Linked DNA regions of Bombyx mori. The protein of the gene in region 2 interacts with the protein of the main gene of each other region in a pairwise test. Links are inferred from orthologs where the notes say so. Each region holds a gene or a part of one and is shown on either strand. Other genes may lie near its edges. The genes, in order: protein crooked neck, cell division cycle 5-like protein, spectrin beta chain, TRAF3-interacting protein 1 and pre-mRNA-splicing factor syf1 homolog.

What was found.
Region 1: the proteins of cell division cycle 5-like protein (region 2) and protein crooked neck interact in a two-hybrid assay, tested with the Homo sapiens proteins (2 studies listed by IntAct). The link is inferred for Bombyx mori from reciprocal best matches to the Homo sapiens genes CDC5L and CRNKL1.
Region 3: the proteins of cell division cycle 5-like protein (region 2) and spectrin beta chain interact in binary tests that used the Homo sapiens proteins (3 or more experiments, as listed by UniProt). The link is inferred for Bombyx mori from reciprocal best matches to the Homo sapiens genes CDC5L and SPTBN1.
Region 4: the proteins of cell division cycle 5-like protein (region 2) and TRAF3-interacting protein 1 interact in a two-hybrid assay, tested with the Homo sapiens proteins (2 studies listed by BioGRID and IntAct). The link is inferred for Bombyx mori from reciprocal best matches to the Homo sapiens genes CDC5L and TRAF3IP1.
Region 5: the proteins of cell division cycle 5-like protein (region 2) and pre-mRNA-splicing factor syf1 homolog interact in a two-hybrid assay, tested with the Homo sapiens proteins (2 studies listed by BioGRID and IntAct, with this or other methods). The link is inferred for Bombyx mori from reciprocal best matches to the Homo sapiens genes CDC5L and XAB2.

What each region holds. Positions count from the first base shown.
Region 1 is NC_085124.1:5,697,087-5,701,168, forward strand, and holds the start of protein crooked neck, read left to right. Parts: upstream 1-1,270; 5' UTR 1,271-1,433; coding exon 1,434-1,472; intron 1,473-1,545; coding exon 1,546-1,731; intron 1,732-2,076; coding exon 2,077-2,192; intron 2,193-3,082; coding exon 3,083-3,239; intron 3,240-3,333; coding exon 3,334-4,082. UniProt on the Homo sapiens protein: Involved in pre-mRNA splicing process. As a component of the minor spliceosome, involved in the splicing of U12-type introns in pre-mRNAs.
Region 2 is NC_085115.1:11,719,778-11,723,293, reverse strand, and holds part of cell division cycle 5-like protein, read right to left. Parts: intron 693-3,516; coding exon 534-692; intron 454-533; coding exon 113-453; intron 1-112.
Region 3 is NC_085124.1:11,114,618-11,118,133, reverse strand, and holds part of spectrin beta chain, read left to right. Parts: intron 1-286; coding exon 287-537; intron 538-1,180; coding exon 1,181-1,340; intron 1,341-2,151; coding exon 2,152-2,290; intron 2,291-3,015; coding exon 3,016-3,197; intron 3,198-3,516. UniProt on the Homo sapiens protein: Fodrin, which seems to be involved in secretion, interacts with calmodulin in a calcium-dependent manner and is thus candidate for the calcium-dependent movement of the cytoskeleton at the membrane.
Region 4 is NC_085131.1:5,592,705-5,596,771, forward strand, and holds the start of TRAF3-interacting protein 1, read right to left. Parts: upstream 2,808-4,067; 5' UTR 2,625-2,807; coding exon 2,490-2,624; intron 893-2,489; coding exon 775-892; intron 201-774; coding exon 1-200.
Region 5 is NC_085110.1:13,377,014-13,381,304, forward strand, and holds the start of pre-mRNA-splicing factor syf1 homolog, read right to left. Parts: upstream 2,816-4,291; 5' UTR 2,476-2,815; coding exon 2,437-2,475; intron 2,202-2,436; coding exon 1-2,201. Other genes in the region: zinc finger CCCH domain-containing protein 13, read left to right, coding at 3,785-4,291. UniProt on the Homo sapiens protein: Involved in pre-mRNA splicing as component of the spliceosome. Involved in transcription-coupled repair (TCR), transcription and pre-mRNA splicing.

The DNA.
Region 1 (4,082 bases), on a different chromosome or scaffold from region 2:
CTGTGCTATTTATCATAGATACCTACCTACTTGGCTTAAAAAACTTTGTTTCGAAGCCACTAGAAATTTATAAAAAAAAATCTACCTACTACCTACATATCACTACTAAAGATGGGTTAATACCGATATTTGTCAATATTAGCGAATACGAATATATTCATGATGTAATATTATAATAACTTAACTAATGCGTGAATATATCCTGATATCTTAATATACTTCGATAAAACGGGTAAACGAGTTAACCGAGTACGGTATTCGTGAAATAAGTTAATAATCATAGATAATACACATAAATTAGTTATTAAATTAATATAAATAGTATACTGTATCTAGGAATTTGATTTCATACTAAATATTTTACAAGTAATATTATGTACATTAATATGAATATTATTATTAAACCAGAATTTGGTCAACATTGTACATTAATATAAACAACAAGTTAGTAATATTATTTATTTCTTATTGGTGCATAAAAACATCAGCTTTTTTACTTTTTCTACCGAATGACCGGTACGTCGCTCAGAAATGAGTATTCCAGATTTCGAAAAAATCCTCTGATACGGTACTGAGGTGGCTAGTAGGTACACAACAGTTATATTAATAGTATAATCCATGAACCGTTTGGTTAGAAAGTCATTTCGATTCAAAAATCAAACTTTTATTTATAGTTTGAGAAGTTCTTAGAAGATAATTAACTACTACCACAAAAATATATTGTCATCATAATTTATTACATATAAACATTTAATGAAAATAAAGCTCACCGATTTTATTCCAATAAATGTGGAAATGCACTATTTTGTCTTGAGTCGAATCTTTAGTACAAACATAAAAAGTAATGCATTTAAAAATTCCCACTGGCATCTTTGACATGTAAAAAGTGCAATACAAAATAGTCCTTAAACTCATAGCGAAATATAGTTATTTTCATTGCTCAGTATATAAACATGTAGATTATCTCACTTACTCTTAGCGCATGCAGTGCATTGATATGAATGTGATAAACAGATATCCGCGAGACACGTACGGCGTATGTCAGTATATTTTCGTGTGATAGATATTTCGCTAGGAGTAACAGTGTTCTGTGGATAGATACAACCCGACTGATGTGAGCTGGCTATTATTATGAATAAGTGAATACGGAATATTAGCATATCAGAATTCGACGGATTACCGATAGACGAATACAAGCTGTATTACGAATATCTTAGTGAATGCTAATATATCGGTATCACCCTTAACCACTACCTACCGTATTCACTTCTCTTAAAAATGTGTATAATCTATGCTTCTCATTTTGACAATAAATAAAAAAAAAACCTGAAGATTTCCTTTCCTGTACTTAGCTGTTTATTGTATGTAATCAAATTAAATTTAGGTTAAACTGAACTAAAAAATTATAAACTGTGCAGAACGTAGAACTTAACATGGACAGCAAGACAACAAAAATGCCGAAAGTGGCAAAGGTACGAAAAAAGTGTTTGATGGTATTGTTGAATAATATTACTCCAATTTTAACATGGATCTCACGATTTTTAGGTGAAGAATAAAGCACCAGCAGAAATCCAAATAACAGCTGAACAATTACTTAGGGAAGCCAAAGAACGAGACCTTGAGATATTACCACCGCCACCTAAACAGAAAATATCTGATCCTGAGGAACTTCGAGACTACCAACATCGTAAACGTAAAGCATTTGAGGACAACATAAGAAAGAACAGACTTGTAAGTAAATTCAATTTATTAGTCGCTTACAATGTATAAATGACTGTTTTTCCTATTAATGTAATTGTTTCTCAGTTTTAAGACCATCCAATGCTTAGTTTTACTAGCTGATAGAGTTCACCAAATTAATTTCATTAATTGATTTCGTGCCATTACGATCCTTTGAACAATATAGGTTTCATGCTGTTTCCACAATAAGAAGGGTACTAAACAATTTCTACTCAGAGCATTACTGACGAAAACCAGATGAGGATACTTTTATTTAGTAGTATTTCTTCAAGAAAACAACAAATAATATAATAATATCGAATTTTAGTTTAATGGATGCTTTGTTTTTGTTTTCAGGTTATTGGGAACTGGCTTAAATATGCACAATGGGAAGAATCACAAAAGCAAATCCAAAGAGCTCGTTCAATATATGAGCGTGCTTTGGATGTGGATCACAGAAATGTTACCTTATGGTGAGAGCTATCATTACAATTAACAATTTTATTTGAAAAATTATTAACTTATGTGCTCTTGGTACTGCCAGTGTTTAAACCATATGACTATTTTAAAAAATGTTTGAGAAATCTGTGGTGTTAATTTTTTTTTGCATTCTTGGCTCATCTGATAGTAATTGTTAGTCACACTACTGAGTACTCTTTGTAAGCCTCATTTGAACAAGGACATATTGTTGGATCACTCAAGACATGGGCTTTAGAACAAAATTCATGTCACAGTGAAGAAAAAAATTAATTCTTAAAGAGTTACCATACAAAGATCAGCTTATAATAGAACATATAAAAAAGATTCCTATGTCACTCTGTTCACATTACAATTTTATTTGGTTAGTAAACTTGTAGACAATTGTGGACGAAATGTTAAGATGTTTGATATACTTGTAATGACCAATACAACTATACTAGAGTTCATAGCCTTTGTGCTACCTAAAGCCCAATATATTTAAGGAAATACATACCCGATATGAAGAAATTTCATAAGTAAATAAGAACAAAGTGTCATTACAAAATTGATACTCTATTAATGTATTGTGAACTGGCATGTAATATATCATCCTGCCTATTTCAACAGTTATGCATTTGGTTTGAATTGTCCAACAGTTGTTTTATAAAGGAATTGAGACTTCAATCTCAAATTGATGCCTATTTAGTCCAAGAGCCACTTATTTAACAAATAAAACAATCTGTACTTTGAAAAATCTGTAAAAGTCATGGACTTTCTTGGTAAATTTCTTACAGTTTTAACTGTTAAATTTGCGTCACTCTTCAATTATCCACACTACCTTAACTACCTGTACTTTAGGCTGTTATACCACACCAAAATATTCTCAGCGTATCATGGGTTTTAGGCTGAAGTATACTGAAATGGAAATGAGGAACAGACAGGTAAACCATGCCCGTAATCTATGGGACAGAGCTGTTACAATTCTGCCAAGAGTATCTCAGTTTTGGTACAAATATACTTACATGGAGGAAATGTTGGAAAATGTAGCTGGAGCAAGACAGGTGATATTTTTTATACATGTACAATTTCTCGTATAATGATAATAGTCACTGACTGTAACTGAAACAAGGTTTCTAATTTACTTTTGTTTCACAGGTATTTGAACGTTGGATGGAATGGCATCCAGATGAGCAAGCTTGGCAAACATACATAAACTTTGAATTGAGGTACAAAGAACTTGAACGGGCTAGACAAATCTATGAACAGTTTGTTATGGTGCATCCAGATGTAAAGAATTGGATAAAATATGCAAAATTTGAAGAAAACCATGGTTTCATAAATGGCTCTAGGACAGTTTTTGAGAGAGCTGTTGAATTCTTTGGTGATGAAGAATTAGATGAAAGACTGTTTATAGCGTTTGCCAAATTTGAAGAAAATCAAAAAGAACATGACAGAGCAAGAGTGATTTACAAATATGCTCTGGATCATGTCCCAAAAGACAGAAATAAAGAACTTTATAAAGCTTATACTATTCATGAAAAGAAGTATGGTGATAGATCTGGCATTGAGGATGTAATAGTAAATAAGAGAAAGTATATGTATGAACAGGAAGTTATAGAGAATCCCACAAATTATGATGCATGGTTTGATTATATTAGATTAGTGGAGAATGAGGGTAATTTAGATGACATAAGAGACACATATGAGAGAGCAATTGCAAATATCCCTCCTTCAAAGGACAAACAATTTTGGAGGCGTTATATTTACTTGTGGATTAATTACGCTTTATATGAAGAGTTAGAAGCAGAAGATTTAGATCGAACAAGACAAGTTTACAGAACCTGTTTAGAATTAATTCCTCATAAGATATTTACTTTCTCAAAAATATGGCTCATGTATGCTCA
Region 2 (3,516 bases):
TTACAAGAGCATTTCTCAACGTGCACATACCATATGGCCTGGCTCAAATTATAATATTACAGAATCATTCTGCGTAGATCAGACAAGGTGTTATGACGAACGGAAAACTTACGTTTTTCTTCTTGTTCCTTAGCATATCTAGCATCAGCATCAGCTTGGTCCTCCACGGAAACGACTGCGGCCGAATCGTCCTTATCTTCACCAGCCTCTTGCTCCGGCACCACGATTTCATAGTCATTTCTCGGAACAGGCAGAGATTGCAAAGCGTTTCTGACTGATGTTTTTGCTTGTTTTTGAAGTTGATGGGAAATTTGAGGAGTGTCACCACCATTCACTCTGTCTTCAGGGTTGATATTAAGTTTATCTCGCAAGCCTGGGGTCAGCCCAAGCTGACTATTGCCATGTCCTGGAGTGTTAAAACTGCCAGGTGTGGACACTTCACTGCGAGATGATCTGAAACAAAATAATGATTTCAATATCTATCTATCTACTGAACAATGTGGACAGTATTTAAACTTTTGATGCAAAAATACCTGAATGGTGTAGCCAGAACAGTGTTAGGTGTGGCCACAACTTGATTTTGAGGTAGTGCCCCAGAAAAATCACTCTCATGTAATGGAGTGTTCAAGCCTCCTTTCAATGGGGTGTCCACATGAGTTAGTGCCATTACATTCTGTGCTTCCATTAGAATTCTGTAATTAAAATATTTTTCTTAGTAAGTTATAACAGCATAATTAATATCAAAAATAATTTTATTTCATGTATTTGATATAAAACTAAATGAAACGACAAGTGTTGGGCAACTTTACCATAGAAAGCAAAATTTATAGCGACCTGCGACTGTAACAGCAGCTCCTCCCCACGCTATATCGTCTCTTCGCATTAAAAGTAATTTCCAAAAATATTCGAAATTTAGTTAATATGCGTAATCATTTCATATCACCAGTATTTTTCTCATAAATACTGTCAAAAGAGCGTAGTTTAGATTTTTTAATTTTTCTTTTTACCTATGTTTTGATTACTATTAACAAAATTAATACATAATTTTATCTTACTTTAAAAGACAGATAATGTAACTGGTAAAAAATAAAAAATAAATGTTGCAAAAATGATAATATTAGAAATATCAGATGTTAAACCTTTAAAATTAGTAAGTTTTGAGTAAAATTAGTAAGTTTTGAGATTATACAGTTTTAATGCGAGAAAACGATATCGACGCCTGAAAGGCAAACGTGACTAAGCGACAATGCGTGACCTTTACAGTAGACTAATTTAAAGTTGAAATACCTGAAAAAAAAACCAATTTTAACGAATCTAGCTGTAGGATTGAAATGATTTTAATAGACCTAGAAATATATATTTTTTTGCGCATCGAATATGGTTATTGCCTATCATTTATATACAAAGCAGTTATTATGTGTTCCGTTTGACGTCCGAAGTCCATTATGAGAGTACATCGTATGATTTCCACTGCAGGTCGCTAAATTTGACTACTTCCGTTTCCTAAGTCCCATCTACAGCGCCCTCTATAACGTCTGGAACCGAACCAACAAGCAAAGACAAGCCGCCATATTTGTCATTGTTGCGTCGTTTTTTCCCACGTGCAGTCGTTAATATTTTAAGAAGTTAGTAATTTAAAATGTTATAAGCAACTTTCGAGATTTGAAGTAGAAAGTTTGTTTCAAACAAGTGTTATGATTATCTTCCGTTTCGTGAAAACCTCCAAGGCTCTACAATGAGTGACGAGGTTATCGCGCCTTTCAAAGTAAAATTTCTTCGGATATTTCTTCGGGTTCGTCTGAAAATAAAGACTAGGGACCAGCAAGAAAACTTCGAAGAAGTGACTGGTCGCGAGATCTGAATAAAAGGTTTGACTTACTGTCGCAATAATGGGTGAGTCATATGAATATTATTTTAACTTCGAATCATGCTATTGCTGGTCGTGCACCAGTGGTCCCGCCTTTACACTTACAAATACCAACATCTTATAATAATAATGTCTGATCTGGTTTCAACTTCCAATCGAAATTAGACAACGACGAATAGTTTTTACGTCTGCCACCAGACCGTCCGTTACCACCAGAAGCGGGTAGGTTTTGAAATTTGAGCATTTCTATAAAAGAACCAGATATGCAAAGATTTGACTAGCCGACTTGGAACGCGGTGCAGGATTCGGAGAAAAAAATGTTTTCCTGCGTTATCTAATGCTCTTTTGGCACAGAACGAATGCGTTATGCTGCCTTACAAAACCTTGCCGACTGGTCACATTCAGAGAACGTTCATCTTAATACTTCCGCCTTTTACGAAAAGTTTAAACCGCTATTCGGTAACGATTTCGCCTATAAAAGTTTCTAACGATATCCTTCAAATAATTTTCGATAAGCGAGCCGAGGTTATACGATAGCGTCGTAGATACCTCATAAAGAAATTAAAGGATAGATATATCAGGGAAGATATAGAGAAAATATCTTCTTCTTGTGATTATGTTTAACCCCAACTTATTATTGGCATATATACAGAAAATTGGTGGTATTGATAAATTACAAAAGCGGCACCGTCTGCTACTCGCATCCGGCCCGCATCGCCGGAACCCTCGGCTTGTACTGCCAATGCAAAGCCATGTCGAGGTAGGCCACATTCCAATACATCTAAAGAGGCCGAAAACAGATATTCTGTGCGATGCTATCCAAATAATTCCTCAGCAAGAAAAACGGGGGGAGGGGGGAACAAGTACAAAGTGGAACGAAAATCAGGAAATAAAAATAAATTACTCAACAGCATTTTCAGGCGGATGTCTAAGACTATATCGAAACACCTGGACTCGATCCACCAAACGTAATATTGAAATTAATAATAACTTGATGTCAATCAAAATCCAGAATTTAATTCAATAGAGCTTTAGAACCCGCACCCCCGATACCGTCTTTCAGATTTCCTCTTTTCATACTTCCCAAGACCAATAAAAAATCGAACAATTTTCAACCTCAAGGCATTGAACAAGTACATGAAACAGTCTTTTTCACCTTTTCCACCATCGTTCCTAAGTTTTATAACAGATTGGAATGTCAAACTGGATTTGAGCCAGGCCTATTATCATCTATCAATGACGTTTCTCGGGATCAGTTATCAGGGTCGTCTACTTCAGATGATATGCCTGCCATTCGGCTTAGCTGCACCACCGCGGATTTTTGCTTCAGTGATAAACTAAATAGCCGAAATACTTCGCCAGAAGGGTCTGCGACTAGTGGTTATCTGCTTGTACACCAGGGCAGAACATCTCCCGCCATCGGAGCAAAGCTTATCCATATTATCTGGAACCGCTGCGTTCATTTACAGTGCGTTTCCAGAGGTCTTTTTTGCCACGTACCAGCTGGCTATGGAATGAGCTCCCTCCACGGTGTTTCCCGAGCGCTATGACATGTCCTTCTTCAAACGAGGCTTGTGGAGAGAATTAATTGCCTACAAGGGCAAAAGACTTGTTGAAATCTCAAGTAACTATACTGAGACCTTAGAACT
Region 3 (3,516 bases), on a different chromosome or scaffold from region 2:
TGGCACTGTGTAAACTTAAAAACCGCACTCTCATATCGCGGTTTTGTTGAACGTACTAAAATTAATTAAAATTTATAAAAAAAAATTAAAAATGAGTATTATTACTATAACTATCACAAAAGCAAACTTTATACCAAAAAAAGGTATTTTATTTTCGTTTTTGTGAATAATTAACCGTAAAAACCTAGAATAAACGTTAGGATAAAAAACGATATTTTTTTTGTAGAGTTGTGTAATTCGTAATACAATAACTATAAAGCATAGTCGTGACGGCCACGGTCCCCAGGCGCAGGAGCTGAGCCCGGAGGACGCCAACAGCGGCGAGGTGCGCGAGCGGCTGGCGGCCATCGACGCGCGGCACGGCGAGCTGGCCGAGCTGGCGCGCCTCCGCAAGCAGCGCCTGCTGGACGCGCTGTCGCTGTTCAAGCTGCTCGCCGAGGCCGACGCCGCCGACCAGTGGATCGCGGAGAAGCACCGCATGCTCGACACCATGCTGCCGCCCAGCGACATCGACGACGTCGAGATCATGAAGCACAGGTACGCTCCTTCATTATAAAGCTGAAGAGTTTTTTTTTGAACACGCTAATCTCAGGAACTACTGGTCCAATTTAAATTCTTTCAGTGTTAGATAGCCCATTTATTGAGGAAGGCTATATATATAGGCTATATAACATCACGCTAAGACCAATACAAGCGGAGCACCAATAAAGAATGTCTCAAAATCGGGATTATTTTTCCTTTTTGAGAGCTTCCGCTGCGTGCGCTGCAGAAACAATAAAAGTTTCGCTAAAATAATGTATGACAATTGTTCCCCTTTAAAAGATCTAAAAAAAAGTCCGCGACAGCATGTCTTATATATTAAGGTTGGCTGGCTTACTATAACGTTTTTTATGCTAACCAAATGTATTCTAAAATAAAGCATTATTTGTGAGCTATTCCACGCGAAGCCACGGGCAAAAGCTAGTAGAAAATATTTTGTTAAGTTAATTAAAGTTACATCAAAATGTGTAGCTAAATAAATAATAAAAATATATATAATCATTTACATAGCTACATACTGGCTAGAAATACGAAATCTAATAGTAGTAGCATACCAGTAGATGTCGACCAATCTCGTCTTCAGAAGTAAAACATTAGCGTAGTAGACAGTATTGTGTCGCTAACTGCGGTCTGTTTTCAGATACGACGGCTTCGACAAGGAGATGAACGCGAACGCGTCCCGCGTGGCCGTCGTGAACCAGCTGGCGCGGCAGCTCGTGCACGTGGAGCACCCGCAGGCGCCGCGCATCCAGGACCGCCAGCACCAGCTCAACCACGCCTGGAGCGCGCTCCGGGAGAAGGTACGCACCGCACGTAACGACCTCGCTAGGACTGCCATCTACAGGGTTCTGCGAGAATTGCTGTTTAGATCCATGTCTAAATATTATTAGAGATCACTGGTGGTAGGACCTCTTGGAAGTCCGCACGGGTAGGTACCACCACCCTGCCTATTTCCGCCGTGAAGCAGTAATTCGTTTCGGTTCGAAGGGTGCGGTAGCCATTGTAACTATACTGAGACCTTAGAACTTATATCTCGAGGTGGGTGGCGCTTTTACGTTGCAGATGTGTATGGGCTCTAGTAACCACTTAACACCAGGTGGGCTGTGAGCTCGTCTATCCATCTAAGCAGTAAAAAAAATATAAAAAAAATTTCAGACAGTTCAACAAAGTAGCTTCGAATTAACTAAAAACAAAAAAAAAAGATGTGTGGTGTCGTGGGACACCGGACAGGAACAAGGTTCCTTATTATAAAAATATTAATTTTAAGTTCTATTAGAGGTATAATAAAGAAAATAAAACTGGAGGTTTCGCAACAACCCACGGTCATTCGGTAACGTGCGAATTTATTGTGGTACACTTCATTCACGGTTGCTTGCATAAGAGTTAGTGTATTGCGCAAACGAACACTCTGAGATCGTGGTCAATGAATGATATTATAAAAAAATATGCTATTTTTGTACATTATTGCAAAGTTAAGTCGTACACTGTGTGCATTACTAATAATAATCTTACGTTACGGACGTTTTTTCCCGGTTAGGGTACCCCTCCGCATCGTCCCATAAGGAACATCGTTCCCAAAAAAATTAAATTTATATTTATTCCAATCCTTAGGCTGAAGCGAAGAAGGATGAGCTTAAGTCCGCTCAAGGTGTGCAGACATTCCACATCGAATGTCGCGAGACCGTCTCGTGGATCGAGGACAAGAAACGCATACTGCAGCAAACCGACGACCTCGAGATGGATCTTAACGGTGAGTACAATCATATCAGATGCTTTTAGAAATTTCAAACAGATTTCGCTTAGTTTTCAAACCGGTAATTTGACTTTCATCAAGGCTGTTTTATATTTTTTTAGTCTTAGATAGTTAAATTAAGATAAGTTAAGTGAACTACGATTGAAAATGATGCTATAGTAATGATATCTCGAGGTTTGTGTGCTGTCCTTGTTTCTTTATTGAAAAACAAAAAAATACAAATTGAATCTTACTTGTGCTCGCTTTTGTAACTTAGATTTTTATAGAAAATCAATACCTAAAATTGCAGGAGAACATTAAAACATACTCATACTCAATTCCCATTGAATAGTTAAAATACTTATCAGAAATTAAGACGATTTCAGTAATTTTTTCTAAAACGTTTTCTATTTAAATACACTCACTAAGGCTATTATTGGCTTCAATTAGTAGTATACCAGCTAGGTATTTGCACCAGATGCAGTCACCAAAATCAATGTTAATGATTAAACTCCCACTGCAGGGTAGTACGTATCCACTGTTAATAAATTGACCGTCCAAACAAGTGTCCGTTAAGGAGTATTTCTGAAAACTTTATCTACCAATAACATTTGATTAGTATGTTAACCGCCCACATATCGTAATTTAGTTGCTTATTAATTTCATGTAAATGACCGTAAACAATTACACTAAAGCTTAGCTGATTTCATATTACCATTGTAAAATGTACCATATGTTTCTAGGCGTGATGACTCTCCAACGTCGTTTGTCCGGAATGGAGCGCGACTTGGCCGCCATACAGGCTCGCATCTCGTCCCTGGAGAGCGAGGCCAGCGCCATCGAGAACGAACATCCCGAGGAGGCACAACTCATTCGGGAACGCGTCGAACAGATCACTCAGAACTGGGAGCAACTCACTCACATGGTCAGTAATTATACACACAACACTAAATGGCTTCGTGCAGTTTGGTAGAAATCACCACAGATGTTACTGATATATGATATTATGCTTTACGTGGAAACGTCGTGTGAATAAACACACGACAGAAAAGGTCGCAAGACAATACAAATGTTGTGCTTAAAGTAATTATCATTGGGTCCCTGACTCTCATGTTGAGTAGCAGAGGGATATGACATGGGTTCCAGTGACCGATGAACTTAATATTCCTAGCAGTTGATCTACATTCCCCTCCCCGAAAGATTTATCTATAACCTCATATCTACATATACATTCTCTATATTAA
Region 4 (4,067 bases), on a different chromosome or scaffold from region 2:
CGATTCTTTAGATCTCGTTTCTTTTATAAGCACAGTATTTTGTGATGCATTTTCTTTATATTTTTTCACTGCTTCTACTGACGATAAATTGTTGTCTAGAGCTTGTGCCAAACATTGTAAGAGTTCATTCGTTTTCTCTGCCTCTTGACCTGCTACTATCTTTGAAGGCTTAATATTGATAGGTTTTCCTGTTGTATAATCTGTATATAAATTTACTAAATTAAGAATACTTGTAAGTTTTTTTAAATACATACTTAATTGTGTTAATATGTGAGTGAGTTCGGGAACACAACGTATTAATCTAATATATATTATATTATAGTAGCTGCGAAAGTTTCGAAAAGAATATGGGCAAGACAGCGGTAGTTATTACATTAATAGATAGAAAAAAAACGGTATCTGATACGGTTATTTGAACCTTACAATATTCTCATAACTTAATATTGCCTGTCTAATACATTAAGACAGAGTAGAGTAGCCATCGTGCTATGGAACTTATAGAACTAAGATTTATAACTCATGTCTCAAGGTGGGTGCTGCCATTTCCGTTGTTGATGTGTATGAACTCCGATAACCACGGGTATGCAGTGAGCTCGGTCACCTATTTTAGCTTTAAAATTTTACATAAAACTAATTTGCAGAACTACTATCCAATTGAAATAGAGACCCTAGTAAAGGTAGGTATTCACTTTTTGAAGTCTATGGACTCCGATATTAGAACCCCAGGCGAGCTGTGAGCACGTTCATCCATCTATACATCTAAAATCAACTTACGTATAACTGAAATGACTTTATTTAAAAACTGTATTTTACTCTCTCTATCTTTAACATTCTCAGAAGTTAACTCGTCCTTTTCAAATAAACCTTCGAAAAATCCAGTTGTTTTTAAAACCTAGAATTAATAATAAAAAGCATTAGAGAAAATAATGATTAGTAAAAACTTAGACTTACATAGGTCTCGATGTCTATGGACTTTGGTAACAGATTAACATCAGCTCAGATCAGGCAGTGAATACAATGGTAATAAAAAATTTGTTACCAGGACATGTTAGCTACTTAAGCCATTTTGTAAGTAATATCAGACTATTTTACTTAGACTTTAATTAACTTTGGGATAACGCTAAATTTTACCCGGGACTTCATAGAAGGTGTAAATATTATTTAATAAAGAATGTTAAGGAGCTATTTAAGGGACCAAAGTCACGCTTTTTAACCGACTTCAAAAGAGGAGGTTATCAATTCGACCACCATATTTTTATCTATGTTGTTCACCGATATCTCGAGAATGCTTGAACTGATTCTGATAATTCTTTTTTTTTGTTCGAAACGCTAGACTTCCCGAATGGTCCTGTAAGTAATCATCAGGATCAGGATCTGATGATGGGATCCTGGAGAAATCGAAAAAATCTACAATTTTCAGCCTATCTTGAAATGATTTGGGTACTTCTTTTTTGTTCTTATTTTATGTCGCCGCGCACCGGCGCGGCGGCGGCGCCTTCTACCTACACCATTATTACGTGCTTGATCATTATTTTTCTTATGCATTTTGCTAATGTTATTTTAAAACTGCGATATCTTCTAGGATACTCATTGAAATCAAATTATGTAAAGGGCCAATTTCTTTTAAATTAAATGCTTGTAATGAATAACGTATTTCTTTGGATAAGTATTAAGTAATATCATCTTTATAAAAACACCGTCACAAATAATGCTTTATTTTAGAACAAATTTGGTTAGTTTAAAAAAGGTTTTAGTGAGCCAATATATGCCGTCGCGGAGTTTTTTTTAAAACTTTTAAAGGGGATTTTTTTGTCATATTTTATTTTAGCGACACTTAAACCGTTTCCGCAGCGCACGCAGCGGAGGCTCCCAAAAGGAAATAAACCCGATTTTGAAACATTATTTATTAGTGCTCCGCTCGTATTGGTCTTAGTGTGATGTTAAATAGCCTATATACACTGAAAGAAATTTTCAAATCGGACCAGTCGTTCCTGAGATTAGCGAGTTCAACCAAACAAACAAACTCTTCAGCTTTTTAATATAAAAAAATAAAGTATAGATAGATATGGTGTTGCTTTATTTAATTTCTGTTCAGATTGGTCATTTTTCTGTAACAGGTCTCGTCAGTGGAATTACACAGCGTAAATACGCCTCTAGGGTTCTAGGGTAGATACCCTAAAACTAAAAAGGCTCCTGTTAGGATAGACGCAAACCGCATCATTACGCGCTCAGTTTTGCTTTTTCTTTACTTGGCCATTTTCATATTTTCATTCTTTATGATTATTCTTTACACACAAACAATAAAGCACGATTTAATTTCGTATTAAAAAAAATATTTTTTTCGTTTATTTTATTAAGGCGTTAAACCTTATCGGCTCAGGGCGCTGAATCTTATCATACGTCACTGGAAAAGTGCATTTTTGAAGTCATTGCTATTTTGAATTTTCTAAGTGTGTTTTTAAAGTGCTTTGAAAAATATATGCACTCACGCTAGTAATAATATCATGTAGAAATCTAAAGGGAGGCTTCTTCAGTAATTTTTCACTTAAAGGCGGCCTCTTCACATATTTTCCGAGAGATGTTTGAGTTTCTTTTATGATCTGTGGATCTATTTCTTTTTCCATTGCACATATTACAAAGTAAACATGAAGCAATAAATATCAAATAACCATATACCTATTCTTAACGACACAAAAAATTGTTGATTACAATAATTTAACAAGAAACATAGGTTTCATAAAGGTTGTCAGGAGTCGTGGTATTTTTAATTTTGTGTACACTGTACGTTCCCATGGAAACGGCTTAGAACCCAAAAATGTTTTGTTGGTCAAAGAACGGGATATATGCCCATACAGCCGGTATCCATTTTCAAGATAGCTTTAATGACAATTGTAAAAAATTCCAGGCAAAACCCATATCGTTTGAATGAAAAGTGAAAAAGAATAAAACATATTTAAAACCAATGAGATGGGATGGAATGGCATTAAATGAACACTCAGTAAAATACAAGGATTTACGGAGCTTTCAAATTGGCAATCTAAAGTAATTTGCGCAACAGCGATCTTGTTTTTATTACGTACTTTCAAAAAGAAGGATTGATTTTTGCTGCTATGAAAATCCACGGTGCCCGCCACGGTGATCTAAAGCAGTGCTTTCCAAACATTTTTCATTCCCATACCCCTTAAACTTTTTTTGAGTTCTCCAACCTTGATAACTCCATACCTAATGTGTCTCATTTCTCTTCGATTAAATCCTGATAACTCCATACTTAAAAAATGTCTCATTTCTGGTTTATCGGTCGTTTTTATTAAATAGTTATTAGAATAAAGTTCATTTAAAACTATATGTTGTAGACAAAACAACATTATCATCATATTTTTAATTTTTTTAAGTTAACTACTTAAACTTCTCAGTATTTACGGCCATTACCAATATAATTTTCACGTACCCCCAATGGGATTCGGAACACCCCAGAGGTACGCATATCCCAAGTTGGTAATTTACAATACACCTTTCCCACTTTCGAAAAAAAATCCACATAATTTTAATTTGAACTCAACATACGCCATATCATGTCAAGAAGCTCATTTAATTTTCATATTGAAAAAAAAAAGCAGACTTACCGTATCATAGATTATCCTACGTAAGCACAAATCAGCACAATTACTAATGTTTATTTATTGTCTGTGTACAATTTGTAGGTCTATAATTTTATCAATAATTCTTTTAAATTGCATCAAAATAATCAATTTATTACAAAATAAATATTTTAACAAGACTTATTTATGTCTTAATTAATCGTTTAAAATTGTGGCTCGATATGCTTTTCCTTAGATCTACACTACATTGGCAAGACTGAATGTAAATTTAATATGCAGACGTGGCGCCTGATGCTCTGTTCTGTCTAAAGTTTACTTGAAGACCAAATTGTGTGAAGCTATACAATTTTCTCAAAGCGCCTGAGTGAAAGTAATATCAAAGTGTATACCCACTAACTTCTTGATTGTTTATGTAGTTTCGTTTTGTAAACTAAATAAACTATTGTTCTGTAAACACGATTTGCAAAC
Region 5 (4,291 bases), on a different chromosome or scaffold from region 2:
GCTGCAGAACTCAACATTTGTGCAGACATCATATTCACCTGTGTATTATATGTGGCTTGCACACTTCTTTTAATTCTTAACATTTCTCTCATTGTATCTTCATTACCATGCCTAACTTCAAATTCTTTCCAAGTGTTCCAAAAATCAGCTGTAATTCTAGGATCACACATTTGACTACAGTGTGCATATATTGCCCGAGCTCTATCAATTTCACCTAGGCGAGTTTCCATTTCTGAGAAGCGAACACACATTTCCCTAGCCTTCTCTTCAGGAAGAGTCTCAATAGCCTTTTCATAAATCTGTCGTGTTTTAGGAACTCCATAAATTTCAGCAGCTTTTTTAATATAAATATTGAACATTTCAAACATTTCTTCAGGTAGAACGGCAGTAGTAGCTCTCTCATATACAGACATTGCATGTCTAGCTAAACCATGCTCTTCTTCCAATTTTGCATATAATAAGAAAATAGACTTTGCAAATTCATTGGGACAATGCTCAAGACATTGCTCAAATAAATCTCTTGCTCTTTCAAGTTTTGAACCACCATATCTTTTTAAAAATTTTGTTAGATATGTATTCCAAATATCATACACATTAGGCCACTTGAATAAGGCAATACCCTTTTCATATGCTCTAAAAGCTTCTTCAAAGTAATTATGCTCTTCTAAAAATAATCCATAATTGATAATAATTTGTGGAGTAGCAATTTTTAAATCTATAATATGATCATACACAGCTTTGCAAGATTTGAATGTACCAAAACTCTCTTCTAAGTCAGCATACATGGACCAAACCTTTAGTGATTTATACAACCTCATTTGCACAGTTTCAGAATCATCATGATATGCTACTTTTCTGCTTGGTAAAACAGTGGCTCTTTGCATTAATTTTAGGGCTTGCTCATAATTTTCATGTCTGATTTCCATTTCAGCCCATTCACACCAAACTGAAGCTAAATCGTCTACTTTAACATATGCTACCTGTGTAGCTTTTTCAAAAATTAATCTGGCATCTTCAATTTGGTCATTGTTTTCATAAAATTTTGCAAATCCAACCCACAGTGTGAAAAGTTTACCAACAGCTAATTTAGGGTCTACAGTTTGCACTGCTTCAGTATATGTATCTATTATTTCATGGGGTTTACCTTCATATAATTTGACTCTTTTATGCCATTCAGCCACATTATGTGGATTTTGTCTAAGTAGAACTGAATTAAGCAGTAACAGCCTTCTTTCCATAAGATACTCAAATCTGGCAAGTCTCAATTCTAAATCAATATCATCATCTTCACTTGGATTAGTTTTCTTGGCAACTTCTTCCATTTTTTTACTAAGACTTAATTCCTCAAATTGTGCATAAGCATCAAATATTTGTGTAAAATCCCTCACTGTAGTCACAGTTTGTATAGCTTCTTCATAAATGTCTCTGGCTCTTTCAAAAAGACCACTTCGAACATAATAGTCTGCAAGAGAGTTCCACAGGTGGCCTAGCTGATCAGTGTAACGTCTTAATCCCCCTCTGATAATAGCGTCGACATTCAGAGAATGAATTTGATCAGGATTCTTTGATATCAATTCACATAATTCATTCCAAAGTTGATGATTTGACTTTCCATGTTTTGATTGAAAATTCTCATTATTAACTAGTTGAGCCAATTTGACTGCAGCTTCATCTAATTTATCTATTGAAGTTAAGTAGTCAATATACTCTTCAGTATCTTCAGGACATAATTTAAGATACCTACGAAACACTCTTACAGCTGTTTCGGGTATATTGTGTTTCTTCAAGAAATTTAAGTAAAGAGGCCATATCCTATGATGTTGAGTTATTGGTAAAGCTCTAAGAGCACTGTCAAACGCTTTCCTTGTTGTAGTTATTTTATACTGATCTGTTAAGAATGAACAGTAATCCATCCATATTCTAGGCATTTTGTGCATAAATACTAAAGACCTTTCAAAGCAATTGTTTACATCTTCATAGCATGGGTCAGCTATACAGCGACCTCTTATTTGTTTTCTTCTTAATTTAAGATAGTTATACCAAAGTTTAAAAGATCCTGGTAATTCTTTTAAAGCTCGTTCATATATCATATTAATTTCATGTTTGGGTGCAGTTTTCTTGTGTTCAATGTACCTAAGCCAATGTTTGACAGAAAATGGATTTCTTAGGATTTCCTCTTCATACGGAAGATCTTCTTCACTCTGTAACAATAACAATTTTATTTGAATTAATATGATAATAATGTTTGATATCAACGTACCAGAAAACCACAAAAGCTTTGGTTAGATTTTTTAAAGCAGTTGATATATTAAGGTTTCTTTGTTAATTGAATTTGGGTTGAAAAAAATATTTGTTGATTGTATTTTCATATGTCGGCAAAAGTAAATATGTATGCACACTAAGCATTGTAAATTATAAAAATATTTTTGAACTTACGAAGAATATGTCGATTTCTTTTCCGTCTAGAAGAGGCATTCTAAAGCTTTCGAATATGTACCGTAGGTACTATAAATTCAATTCAAACAGTTGAGTAATTGAATAATTAGCTTAATTCTATTTCTTTAGAACACACTCAAATATATTATGTGTATAATCTATGGAACACACTTCAGTGTTTAATCTATGACACACAATATCATAGATTGTACCTTATTTTTTTAAGAGATTTTATGACCTGGTAACTAAGACCTTTAGGTCATGTTTTATTTTAATTTATATTTTAATTTTTATGAAAAATCATAATATGGAGTGAAATGAAATGAGATGAGATGATGTGAGATGAAATATAATCTAAGTAAAATGGTGGTCATTTACTGAGAATTTTGATTCAGTGGACTTTTTGGAGAATCCCGAAAAGTTACGTCCAGTGGCTTTGTTTCATTTTCCCACTTTTGTGCACTTTCACAGATATTAAACAGTTAATAAACCACCGTTATTACACATTTAAACTTGAAGAAACACTAAGTAAACAAAATAAAACAAATCACACAATTTCACTCCTCGCGTTCCTGCCAAAAATCCGATTATAGATTAAAGAACGGAATAGATCCGATTATACCATAAATTTTAAGTATCTATAGATTATACACACTTGTGAGATAACTAATTTAAGTATTAGTTTGTGCGGCTTAATAATGTAACTGATCAAAATTAATTAATCTGAGCGATGAAAATAAAGATATCTAGTAAGGGGGGGCCCAACTTAAGGGAGATCATTTGTTTAATTAATTATAAATAATTAAAAGACGAACAAACAATTTTTACATTCGAAAATTAACGAACAAACGACGAACAAATAATTAAAAATAAAAAAAATCCAAAAATCAAAAAACGAGGGGCCAAATTTAGTGAGCCCTACCTATCTACTCCACGTGTAAAAGCGCTTCTGCTTTTGCCTTGGGCCTTGTAAGCTATCATAGATAATACGCTTATTATTTGAGTTTGAGATGTAAGCTGATTGTAACTTGTAAGCTATGTTAGGAATTATGGCCATCCATTGCCGTACTGCATGCAAACGTGTTGTTAAACAAAGATTTAAGTAAATATTAATTTATGTAACGAGAACTACATTCCGCTTGCCTACTAAGAGAAACTAGTAGAAAAAAATCGCTCCAAATAATAGCGTTTGTCATAGATAATAGACCATAAATAAATGTTTGTACAATTCCTTTTTGTAAAAAATATAAAACCTTTAATTTACTTGACTTCACCGTGCCGGTTAGAGAAGATTATTTTTTAGTTCTTTTTTTTTAGTTTAATGTGATACAAATGTATTTCTACTATAATGTCAAAACAAGGAAAAAGAAAAATATCTGTTGAATTGCCGAAAACGAAAGATCTCTCTATTAGACCTAGTGTGTTTGATCGGCTCGGTACTAAGAAATCATCAAGTGCTAAAAAAACAACTGAACATTGTAGACAGTGGGCCCAACACGGCAGCTGTGCTTACGGCAAAAGTTGTAAATTTGCTTCTACGCATACTCTTATCAGTCCTTCTAAACAACGCGCAGCTCATAAAGACAATGATCAGAAACGTTTAGTGAAGGATGATGGGAAGACTAGATTGCATTCTACTGTTATAGTGCGGTCAGGTCAAAGCCCCGAAGGAGAAATCGATAACTGGGACCAAAATGACTTAGAGTATGCAGACACAGATGTCCTCGAAAAACGAAGACAGCAGTTGCAGCGTGAACTAGAATTACAGATGAAAATGGATTCAAACAAAGACATGCGAAAAGATAAAAAAAAAGTCGTGTCCAGTACGTCTTCATCTAGAAGCTCTAGTTCTTCG